3 linked regions of the Notamacropus eugenii genome follow. The protein of the gene in region 2 purifies or fractionates together with the protein of the main gene of each other region. This does not show direct contact. Links are inferred from orthologs where the notes say so. Each region holds a gene or a part of one and is shown on either strand. Other genes may lie near its edges.

Region 1 (3,745 bases), on a different chromosome or scaffold from region 2:
ACTATGATCTACCTTAGAGTTGTCAGATCAAATGAAAAAAATCATGCCATCTTTTTTGTGTTTTGATTTACACTTGGCAATACTGAAACAAAGTCTGGCAAAAACACAATATCGATAGCAGAGTTCTGCTAGAATCTTCCTGGCACTCACCTCTTCTAAGGTCCCAGGACTGTCACCTCCTTTGGATAGACTGTCATTTGTTGGATCTATATCCCTATCCCCTAGCACAGTGCCTGGCACTTGGAACTGGGGCTTAATAAATGCCTATTGATTGAATGATAGAATGCAGGACTATAGAAGCCTTTGGAGGTAATATTTGATTCAAACCCTTTATTTCCCCAGTACAAGTCAAGAGACTTCCCAAAGGTCATACAGAGAGCAAGAAGTAAAATTTGAACCTAGTGCTACCTCAAGTCCTTGTGGAATTTGCAGAGATGTTCTGCCATACTTCCATCCTGAAACCCACCTGAAGAACAAGGACATTATACTACAGCTGGTTGAGCTAGGTAAGTTGATAAAGTGCCAGCGTATTTTAATAATGTTGAAGGAGTGGGGAAAACATAGAAATACTTTCATTTTTTACCAAAAATCTATCTGTTGAGTACTTCAGTGGGTTATCAAAGGAAGATGCCTAATATTCTCTCATGGAGATATTTAAGAAACGAAGAAAGGCCAATTTACCAGGATGGTCTGGAGGAAAGATAATGTAATAGAGCACAGAAGGTTCCTTCTGGTGCTGCAACTACAATAGTGTGATCAATAAAATCTCATCTTCATGTTCCATTGCTCTCTAGTTTAGAACAATGATAATGAAATAACACCCAAATGGATGTGGAATCTTTTAGATAGGAGCTTCAACTGCAGAATCTCAGCCCACCACGCCGTTCAATCCCATGTGCCTCTTGTCCAGGTGTTTCCCTCAATTTACCACAGAGTCTCACCTAACCTAGAGAGTTTGTCTATGAGACTAAGCAGCTAGGTGTCTAAATACAAAGAGCACCTGGCCTGGAGGAAGGAAAATCTGAGTTCAAATCCGGCCTCAGACACTTACTAGCTGCATGACCCTGGGCAAGTCTCTTCACCCTGTTTGCCTAGGTTTCCAAATCAGTAAAGGAGCAGGAGAAGGAAATGGCAAACCATTCCAGGATCTTTGCCAAGAAAATCCCAAATGGGGTCACCAAGAGTCAAACTCAACTGATCAATAACACACATACATATATATATATATATATATATATATATATATATATATATATATATATATATACTTAAATAAAACAGCAAAAGTAAAACAAATTGGGTTGCCTTCAGGAAATCACAAAGCTCCTTTAATGACCTAAGTTCTCCCAGAAACAAATGCACATCTCTTTAATACCAATAATTTAGTGGGGATATAAGGTTGAGTCAATTAAATAATAGAATCATAAAGTCTCCCAAGTCATAAAGTTGATACACCTTATGTACTCTATTAAACCACAAATAATGACAAACTAGCGTTGAAGCTTCAATCCAAAAAGTAGAAAATGTCCTCTCTCCAAAGTCACTCTTTGTAAAAGACGTTTACCTATTCACAGTAGGTCAAGGTGAAGACAAGAAAATGCTATATTCACATTTTCCATGAACACCTTATTTATGGTATCACATTGTAATCAGTAACGTTCTTTTTCCACTAATATGCAAAGAAGATAATTCATTTCTAAAAATTAAGATCTATTCCGTTGCCATCTGGTACCTGTTCAGTGGCTAGTTAGAGCGATAAAAAACCACCCCTCCTCCGCCACTCATCATCTGGACCTACTTAGCAGTAACCTGGAGGACTCCTCAGGGAGGTCCTGCCCTGCTCCGGAACAGCCCCCACTGCCCAGCCCACCTCTTTATCACAACTGGAGGCTGCCCCCGGGCCGCCAAGCAGGGCTTAGGGGGGTGCCAGCCTTCGGGGCTGCGGGGAGGCCAGGTGCCCCCGGGCAATGCGGGGTGGCGAAGCACCAGTTGCTCCCGGAGGTTCTCCTGCCCACGAAGGGGCTCTGGGGTGCCGGGGCAGCCCGAGCCGCAGGGCCAGGAGGTCGCGGGCAGGGCCTCGAACTGGATGCCGGCGAGGTGCCAGCCCCGGCGCGCCCGAGGATGCCCGGGGATTTCCCCACAGAGGCATCACATGCGCCCACGCGCAGCCCACGCAAACATACACACAGTCCCTCCGCCCGCAGGGCTGGGGTCTCTCTGGGAGGCCCAACAGGGGGACCCGGGGCCCAGGGGAGCCCTCCCCCCCTCCCCGGCAGCGGGGGGCTGCGGGTCCGGGAAGGCGTACATGCGTACGTACGTGTGAGTGCTGCGTGCCCGCATATGCCGCGTACATGTGTGGGGGTGGGGGGCCGCTCACATATGCGTAGGTTGGGCCCGCGCTGGGTGGACCTGGGTGCCGGGATCCCTGCGTGTGCCGGGCATTGTGTGCCCGTGGGCGAGGGGACGGCGGGGGAGGGGGCAGCGGGCTCCCGGGCACTGCCACCTCCCCCCGCGCCCCGGCCCCGATGCGGCTGCCCCTCCGCCCCCCACGGAGACCCCCGCGGGCGCGGGCGGGGTGCGTGAGCGGGCCGCGCGTTCCCGCGCCCCCCTCCCCCCGGCTCGCGCCGCGCGCGCACTTACCGCGGGCCGCCGCTCCCGCCGCCCGGGTCCGCATGGCCGGGGCCCCCGCGCCGGGGCCGCCTGGGGAGGGCGCAGCCCCCGCGCCCGCCGCCGCTGCCGCCCCGCGCCGCCCGCTCCGCATTGGGCTCCGGCCCCGCCCGACCGGCCCTGGCTCCGGCTCCGGGGCCGGGCCCCGAGCGAGGGACTCCCGCACCGAGGAGGGAGCGCAACTCCGGCCGCCGCCCCTGCCGCCCGGCCGTCCTCCCTCTCCGCTCCGGTGCCGGTCCTGGTCCTGGTCCTCCGGCCGCCGCGGCCGCCCCGCCCCGCAGCGCCCCCTGGCCGGGGCTCGGGCTACGGCGCCCGGACTGACTGCGGCGGCCGCCGACGGGGGCGGGGCGGCCGCGGGGGAGGAGGGAGGGGGGAGGGGGGAGGAGGGAGGCGGAGGGAGCCCGAGGCGAGGCGGGCGGGGCCGGGCCGGGCCGGGCCGGGCCGCGCCGCCTGCCGCCGCACTCCACCTAGGCTTAGCACGGCCGCCGCCTTAGCAGCTGCCGCTGCCAACTTGGCCAGCCTGCACGGGCATGGCTTAGAGGGCGGGCCCGAGGCCCAGCTCCGACCCCTTGAGGGGATGGGGCTGGAGACGGGCTACTATCCCTGCCAGTCCCAAAAGAGGCAATCGGAGACCCAGGGCCAGGAGCGAGGAGAGGGGTCCGAGCCTGGCCCCCAGCTCCGCCCCCAAAGGAGCAGAGGCTCCGCCCCCAACGGAGCAGAGACCCCCCCCCCCCAGCTCCGCCCTCAAAGGAGCAGAAGGGTCCGAGCATGGCCCCCTAGCTCCGCCCCCAAAGGAGCAGAGGCCCCCCCCCCCAGCTCCGCCCCCAACGGAGCAGAGGCGCCCCCCCCCCAGCTCCGCCCCCAAAGGAGCAGAGGCCCCCCCCCAGCTCCGCCCCCAAAGGAGCAGAGGCCCCCCCCCAGCTCCGCCCTCAAAGGAGCAGAAGGGTCCGAGCCTGGCCCCTAGCTCCGCCCCCAAAGGAGCAGAGGCCCCCCCCCCAGCTCCGCCCCCAAAGGAGCAGAAGGGTCCCAGCCTGGCCCCTAGCTCCGCCCCCAGGGAGAAGGGGGCTCCTAGCCCAGC
Region 2 (3,745 bases):
TGGAAATCCAATATGAACCATTGACATTTATAAGCAGCCCCACTGACAAATATTTATTGAAAAAAAAAAAAAAAGAAATGTGAAGCCTTTTGTAAGTGATTAAGAACTTACTCTTACTCTTACAAACTCCTTAAAGGCTGAGATTATGTTATATTTATTTTTAGATCTCCCATAAATTCCCTAACATAGCATCTAGCACATAGTTGGAGTTCAGTAAACGCTTTCATTAGACCAGTCTGGGGGTGGGGAACTTGTGGAATCCATGGGATTCAGTCAAAGGGTCACACTTGGGGACTTGTGGGGCCACATGGAGGCCCTCAGCTTCGAAGGTTCTCCACCCCTGGACCAGTCCTTGGGGACTCACACTTTGGTTGAGGAGTCAAGAAATAACAGGATTAGAAAGCTACAGCTGAACTACGGTGTAGAATCCATCCATGTGCAACAGGAGGTAGCAAATCAGACATTCTAAGGGACCACCTAGTCCAATCTCCCCTTCAGGGAACTGGGGAAACTGAGGCATCTCAGAGAAATCAAAGGACTTGTCCAAAGTCACACGGATAATAAGCAGCAGAGAAGGGAATGTGAAGCCCCCCGCTTCCAAATTCAGCGATCTTTGGCTTGTACCGCCACGTTGCTTGGGATTTGGATACTGGAATTGGCAGACCAATGGTGGAGTCCAAGGTCTATCATTAACCTGCTGGGTGACCCTCCTGAAGTCGCTGAACCTTTCTTAAACATCCAGTTTCTCATCTGTAAATCGAGGGGGCTGGACTATCCTTCCGGCTCTTGAGATTGTGTGAAAGGGGTGGGGGTGAAGTGGGGGCGGGGCGGGAGTCCCTTCCGTCTCCTACATACTATGATTCAGAGATCAGCGTTGGCAGTGGTGGTCAGAGAAGGCTCCATCTTGAAGGTTGAGGAGGGGGAGCAGGCCTCGTTCAATGAGCACAAGTACAGAGGTGGTACAATTGAGTATGTGCAGAAGGAGAGGGGGGAAGAAGGAAAGGGGGGAAGAAGAAAAGGGAGGAAGGGAGAAGGGAGAGAAGAGGGAGGTGGATAGATGAAAAGACTGCAATTTAAGCAGGACCGTAATCCTTCTCTCTAGCCCCTCTCCCTTGTCTGTCTCAGCTCCCCAGCTTGACTGGGAGCTCCCGGCGGGCAGGGATCTGTCACCTCCTGAAGCTTTTTTCTTCTCTCCCCAGAACAGCACTCAGGGTGCGAAAGAGGGGGTCGGAGATCATTGTCATCCGGAACTGCATCCTGCACTGCCATCCTCCCAGGTCGGTCCAGTCCAAGGAGGCCAGATGTCCCAGAACGAGGAGTCAGGGTGAGGCTGCCCTTTGCTTCCCATCCCTCATCCCATCCCCTGCCTCCCCCAATTGTCAAGCCCCCCTCACCCCGCCCCCTGGCTTAGCCTCTCGGCTCAGACAGAGAAGGCAGGAGCATCTTGCAGGAACCCTGGGGGTCTCTGTTGCTTGACAACAGCTTCTGTTGCCGGCTCTCGGTACCCAGCTTGACCACGTAACCCTGCACCTTCCTCCCCTGTCCCCTTCGGGCAGCCCCGACTCCCGGGGCTCCTCCCTCAGCATCAGCATCAGCACCTGTCTCTGCCCTTGATCATTGTGAGCTGGAGGGACTGTGGGCTGCCTCCATCCCTAGGACTCAAGAAGGGTCAGGGACCTCCCTGGAGCCCACCCAGTGCAGGTGCCCCTGCAGTACCCACTGGACCAGACCCATCCCTCTCCGTTTCTTCTCCTTTTCGTCTTCCTTCTCATCTTCCTCCCCATCTTCCTCCCCACATTCCTCCTGTTTCCCCTTCTCTTCCTCCTCATCTTTTTTATTCCCATCCTCCTCTTCTTCCTTCCCTCCCCTCCTTTTTTCCTTCCTCCTCCCCTTCTCCTCTTATCTCTCTCTTCCTCTTTTATCTTCCCTTTCTCCTTTTTCTTTCCTTTCCCTGCCCTTTCCTCCTCTTTTTATCTTCCTCTCCTCCTCCCTTCTCCCTTTCCTCTTTTTCACTCCCTCTCCCTCCCGTCTCTCTTTCCTCCTCTTTTCTCCCTCCCTCACCCCCCCTTCTTCCCCTCGGTGTTCTAAAACGTCAGCCTCCAAGGTAGGCGGGCTCGCGGGGTGCTCCTCCCAGATGCCGGGCTCCCCCAATGCGCATCCCTCGCTGCCTCCCTCTGACCCTCTCCGCCCCGCTCCTTCCAGGTCACCTGCTGAGAATCGAAACTGTGAGGAGCTTTCCATGACTTCGGAGCGGGCCACCTCCACCAAGCCCGACCAGATGGCAGACCCTCCACCACCTTCGTCCCCTCCTCCTCCCATCCTGGTGTCGGTGGCCACGGCTTCCACCTGGACCTTCCCCAACGAGCCGGTGAGTCCTAGCCAGCCCGAAGCCAGCACCAGCGGCGGCACCAAAGCCCGCGCCAGCACCGAGGAGGTGAGGGCGGGGGCAGGTACCTGGGGCCAGGTAACTCACCTGAAGGGTGGGAACCTGGGAGACAAGAAGGAAGGGGTTCGCATTCATGAAGCACCTACTGTGTGCCGGGCGCTTTACAGAGAGCATTGCATTCTATAACAATAGTGACGATTGCTAGTGTACCTTCTATAGCCAGGCCTGTACTAAGGACTTTACAAATATTATCTCATTTAATAAGAATAAAAATAACCAGCTTGGGTATAGCTGTGTGCTACTGTGTGCCAGGCCCTGTGCTAAGAGCTTCACAAATATTTCAGTCGAGCCTCACAACCACCTAGGAGGCAGAAGCTATTATCAGCACCCCCATTTTACTGAGGCAGACCAAATGAAGTGACTTGCCCTAGGTCACTCAGCTAGTGATTATCTGAAGATCTGAACTGACAACAACAATTTGTACATAGAGCTTACTGTGTGCCAGGTACTGTGCTAAGTGCTTTACCGTTATAATTTCATGTAATTAAGAGTAATTGTCATCGCTAGCGTTTACATAGTGTCTATTATGTGCCAGGAGTCATACTTAGCCCTTGACAATTGTTATCTCATTTGTTCCACTCTGGTAGGTGCTGTTATCATCCCCACTTTACAGATGAAAAAACTGAGGCAAATAGGTGAAGTGACTTGCCCAGGATCCTGGTAGATATCCAAGGTAGAATTTTAACTCAGGTCTTCCTGACTCCATGGACTACTAGGTGATGCAGTGGATAGAGTGCTGGGATGGTATCCGGAAAACTCATCTTCCTGAGTTCAAATCTGACCTCAGACACTTACTAGCTGTGTGACCCTGGGCAAGTCACTTTACCCAGTTTGCCTCAGTTTCCTCATACGTCAAATGAACTGGAAGAGGAAATGGCCAACCACTCCAGTAACTTTGCCAAGAAAACCCCAAATGGGGTCATTTGGACACCACTGAAAAACAACTGAACAGCAGCTTCCTAACTCCAAGTCCTGGGCTTTATCTGTACCTCTGTGCCTTTAGGCAGCTTTTCTAGGGAATCAACTGGATCTAGGAAGGAAAGAGCCCTGGTCTAAGGCTTAGGAAATCATAAGTTCATAGATGCAGGATTGGAAGGACCTTCTGAGACAGTCAGTTAAAACCACTTTATTTTACACTTGAAGAAAGCGAGTCCTGAGGAGGGTAAGGGATTTGCCCAATTGAACTCACAGAGGAGGTGAGATTTGAACCCACGACCCTCTGACTCTGGAGTCAGTTCTCCTTCAACTGAACCAGGAGATCAAAGTTTTCATCTTGAATCTCTTCTGTCCTAACTTTAT
Region 3 (3,745 bases), on a different chromosome or scaffold from region 2:
TGAAAATCTTAAATGTCAGTTACTATAATTAATATTTTTATATATCTATGCCATCACCCTCATTAATAGGATAAAGCTGATCATAGCAAAGGCACACAAAAATAAATTTTCATCCCTCTTTCAAGGATCTACTAGATAGCTCTTCATTTGTGTTCAGTATCACAGTTAATATCCATCTGTCCTTCCGGTTTTTAAACAACTATAAGATTAAAAACACATGGGGAAAATATCTGAACACTAACCACCTTGAAGTATTTATGATTCAATGTTACCGAACACTAACCAGCTTGAAGTAGTTATGATTCAATGTTACATCAAAAAAAGGTGCTGAAAAAGAACAAGGTATCCAGCATAATTCAGGATCTTTATTTTTTACATTAACAGGTCCATCTATTGAAAAGAGTTGTTTATTATTAAATCTAATATTTTTAAAGATATTTATATTCCTTTTAAAAGAAAGGGCAAGAAAATCAAATTAATCATTAGCCTTACCTTCTTTAGAAATTGCTAGATGAGTTTGGAAGCTTTATTTCACACGTGTAATTTTATTCCATTTTAAATGCATTTATACATCCTTCCATTCTCAGAAATACTACACTTTAACATACGAAATTCAGTGGCTTTGGATTGGATGTGATTAACTTTTCTTGAGTATTTGGTGTTTACTGCATATTTATGCAATAACCTGCAAAACTGAAGCAGCGCCCCTAGCGAGAGTCCTATAAATCCCGATTAAACAAAATTCCATGGTTTCCCAAAATACATTGTTGAGAGGTATGGCGTTCACTTTTGTCACTTTATTACTTTATACTCTGGAAATCTTAGCTTTAAGGAAAAGAAAGTTTCAAACACAACGACAAATTACAACCATTAAAGTCTAATTCTCATTTAATAATCAATACAGAAAAATATATCTAACATCAAATCCAGAGACTTTGGAAATCAAGGCAAATAAGGATCTTAAGTCTGTTCAGCATTGCCACACACTAGGATGAAACCACGGCAGCTCTCGGCACCCGAACTCAAAGCTTTAGGAAGCGTCTCATCACCCACGCGACGACGGGACCTCCGTTTTTAAACAAACAGAACACCAAATAACAGATTCGTTTTCCTTCGTCCAGCGTCTCCTGTGCCTTCTCGGCCAGAAGCGGGTGGCAGAGATGCCTAGGGCATCTCCCCAGCTCATCTTGAGTCGGCTCCGGTTCCCACCCGCAGACTCTAGGGGGCACCAGCCAAGTGCCCTCCCCCCGGTAACGTGAGCAGCTGCAGCCCGTCGTCGGGGGGCTCGGGCCGCTCTCGCAGCCGCAGGAGCCGCGTCGGTGGCGGCCGGGCCACAGAGCCCACCCCCGCCGCCTTCCCAGCCAGTCCCGGGTCTTCGCCCCAGGGGCAGCTACCACCCGAGCAATGGCTCCTCCTTCTCAAGACAACAGAGGCCGGCGGCGAATCCCGGAGGTTTAACACCCCCCCCTCACCCCGGGGCTAGGCCCGCAAAAGGAGACAAATAACGAGAAAAGGACTCACAATGGGGGACTCTCCTCCGTAGTTTCGGCCAAAGCTGGGCCAGATGGGGCTGGAAAGGATTTCTGGTCCTACGAAAACAGAGAAGAGATTTGAACGAGAATCAAGTGGCCCCAATAAGGCCGCGTCCCCCCGCCCTGGGGGTGGGGGTGGTGGAGGTCGGGCCTCATTTCCTCCCCTCCGAGCCCCGAGGGCCACCCCCCACCCCCCCGCCCCGGCGCCCGGGCCAGGTCTAGAGAGGCGACATGGGCCAGCACGCATCCGCGCCCTCTGCTCTGGGAGGGGGAAGCCAGAGCCTCGACGCCAGGAGGGAGAGGACGTTCCTTCCGAAGGGGGCCCTGCCGGCCTCCTCTTCCACGAATCCAGACGTCCGCACCGCACTCCCGGACACTCACGTCACCGCCGGCCCGCGATCTCCCCATCTGCCCCCAGCAGTTGCCCCGGGCCCGGGGTTGGCCCCCCCTGCAGTCGGCGGCCGGCAGCGCTGCCTCCCCGTCCGCCATTAGAGACCCAGGCAAACAATACGGGAGACGCAGGAGCGTCGCAGGGCAGCGCCTGGGACGGCGGGGGGCCGACGACCGGGTTCTCCGTGGGGAAAGGGGGCAGCCCCCCAACAACTCCGGAGAAATAGCGGCGGCAATAGCCCGCCCGAGGCGGGGGGAACCCGGGTCCCCACCGCCGCCGCCCCCCTCCAGCTCCCTCAGCGTCACCTCCCCCCTCAGAAACCGAGACGGAAAGGAAAAATACCCCGGCCTCCGAACGCCCCGACTGCCAAACCCGCGGGGCTGCCCCCTCCGCGGCCTCGTCTCCCCGCCGGCGCCCGGCCCTGCCCCTCGCTCAGCCCCGGGGCCCGGCGGACCGGGCCGTGCTGCGCCGCAATGGGCCTCGGACCCGAGAGGAGGGAGAGACCCCGGGGCAGCCCCCGAGGCCCTGCACGGCCGCAGCGCCGCACTACGGGGTAACAAGCCGGAGGAGGTGGGAGGCTCCTTCGGTGGCTCACCCGTCTCCGCCTCTCCAGTCGCCTCCTCCGGAGGCAGTGCTGCCCCCAGCCACCCCCACCATCAGCGGACCGAGCTGGGGAAAGAGTGGGGGATAATCCTCACCCGGTTCTGGCTGCGGCTCCACGGAACGAACCTCCCCTCCCCCGCCCCACCCCCCCCTTCGGTAACACGCACAACTCCACTCGGTCCAGTCCCGGGCTAAGCGCTGGCGAGGAGGAGGAGGAGGCGGCACAACCGAGCCCCACGAGGCTCCGCCTACCCGGACGAGGACTGGCTGCCGGGAGGCACGGGCGGGGGTGTTTAGAACGCGTCAATTGGCCAGCAGGATAATCTTTCACCGTCCCGCCTTCGCAGGGTGGTCTAAAAGGTCGTCCGTCAAACTTTGGCCACGCCCAGAGTCCCCCCTTCCACTCCTCCCCCTCTCCCCCAAACCCCCTCCCCCATCCTCATTCCCTCCCCACCCCAACCCCCCGCTGGATCTTTCTGGTTATGGCAAATGTGAATTTGGTTGCCCACTACCACCAGCCCAGGGTTGCTACTTAGGGGCACAGGCGGGTGAAAACAGAAGCTGTGGCAAATGGGAATGGGACTAAGGGGCCCTTCTGTCTTCACCCAGGCCTGGGCACTCAATCTTGTGCAGCAACTGCAGCAGCTAAAGAACTCTCCCTACAGGAATAAGTGGGGAAAGACACCAACAGCCCAGATGCCCCCAAATCCTTTTCCCCACCCCGACTCCAATCTCCCTTACGCCCCCGGAGATGGGGCAAGAAGTGGACAGGAGCTGCCATTGGAATGCCAGGCTAAAGGGAAGGGATGGGGTAAAACTCTTCAAGCCTCTTGAGGGAAGGGGAGCTTCACTCTTTCTAACCCTCTCCCCCCCCATGGGGAATACCCCCCTTTCCCTCCCCTCCTTGTCATGGCTGCAGGAGGAGGAGACGGCGTCCTCCATTTTGTCGGAAGCTGCTGTGGGAACTTGGGACCAATTCAAAACCAAACCCAGTGGGGCTAAAGCCACTTCCCCCTCTAAGCCCCAGCCTGGAGCGGTCGTTTGACCGTGGGGGCATTCCCTGCCTCGAGCATGTGGAGGTGAGGGGCTAGAGGAAGCCAGAGGGCTTGGAGAGGGAGGTGAGAGATCAAGGCGCTCCTCCCCGCCTCCATCAACCAAAATGGAGGAAGCTGCGGACTCCCCTGAAGCCTGGACTCCCGCTTGTTGGAGGGGCTGGAGC

Evidence for each region.
Region 1: the proteins of PML (region 2) and ZFYVE9 purify together in Homo sapiens (affinity purification with western blotting; 3 studies listed by BioGRID and IntAct, with this or other methods). This does not show direct contact. The link is inferred for Notamacropus eugenii from reciprocal best matches to the Homo sapiens genes PML and ZFYVE9.
Region 3: the proteins of PML (region 2) and ZMYM2 purify together in Homo sapiens (affinity purification with western blotting; 3 studies listed by BioGRID, with this or other methods). This does not show direct contact. The link is inferred for Notamacropus eugenii from reciprocal best matches to the Homo sapiens genes PML and ZMYM2.

The regions. Positions count from the first base shown.
Region 1 is NC_092873.1:512,294,952-512,298,696, reverse strand, and holds the start of ZFYVE9 (zinc finger FYVE domain-containing protein 9), read right to left. Parts: upstream 2,729-3,745; 5' UTR 2,641-2,728; intron 2,473-2,640; exon of another isoform or gene 2,318-2,472; intron 1-2,317. UniProt on the Homo sapiens protein: Early endosomal protein that functions to recruit SMAD2/SMAD3 to intracellular membranes and to the TGF-beta receptor.
Region 2 is NC_092872.1:242,512,111-242,515,855, reverse strand, and holds the start of PML (protein PML), read left to right. Parts: upstream 1-862; 5' UTR 863-938; coding exon 939-956; exon of another isoform or gene 957-969; intron 970-1,199; coding exon 1,200-1,324; intron 1,325-2,202; coding exon 2,203-2,434; intron 2,435-3,745.
Region 3 is NC_092876.1:186,829,545-186,833,289, reverse strand, and holds the start of ZMYM2 (zinc finger MYM-type protein 2), read right to left. Parts: upstream 2,730-3,745; 5' UTR 2,622-2,729; intron 1,590-2,621; 5' UTR 1,522-1,589; intron 1-1,521. UniProt on the Homo sapiens protein: Involved in the negative regulation of transcription.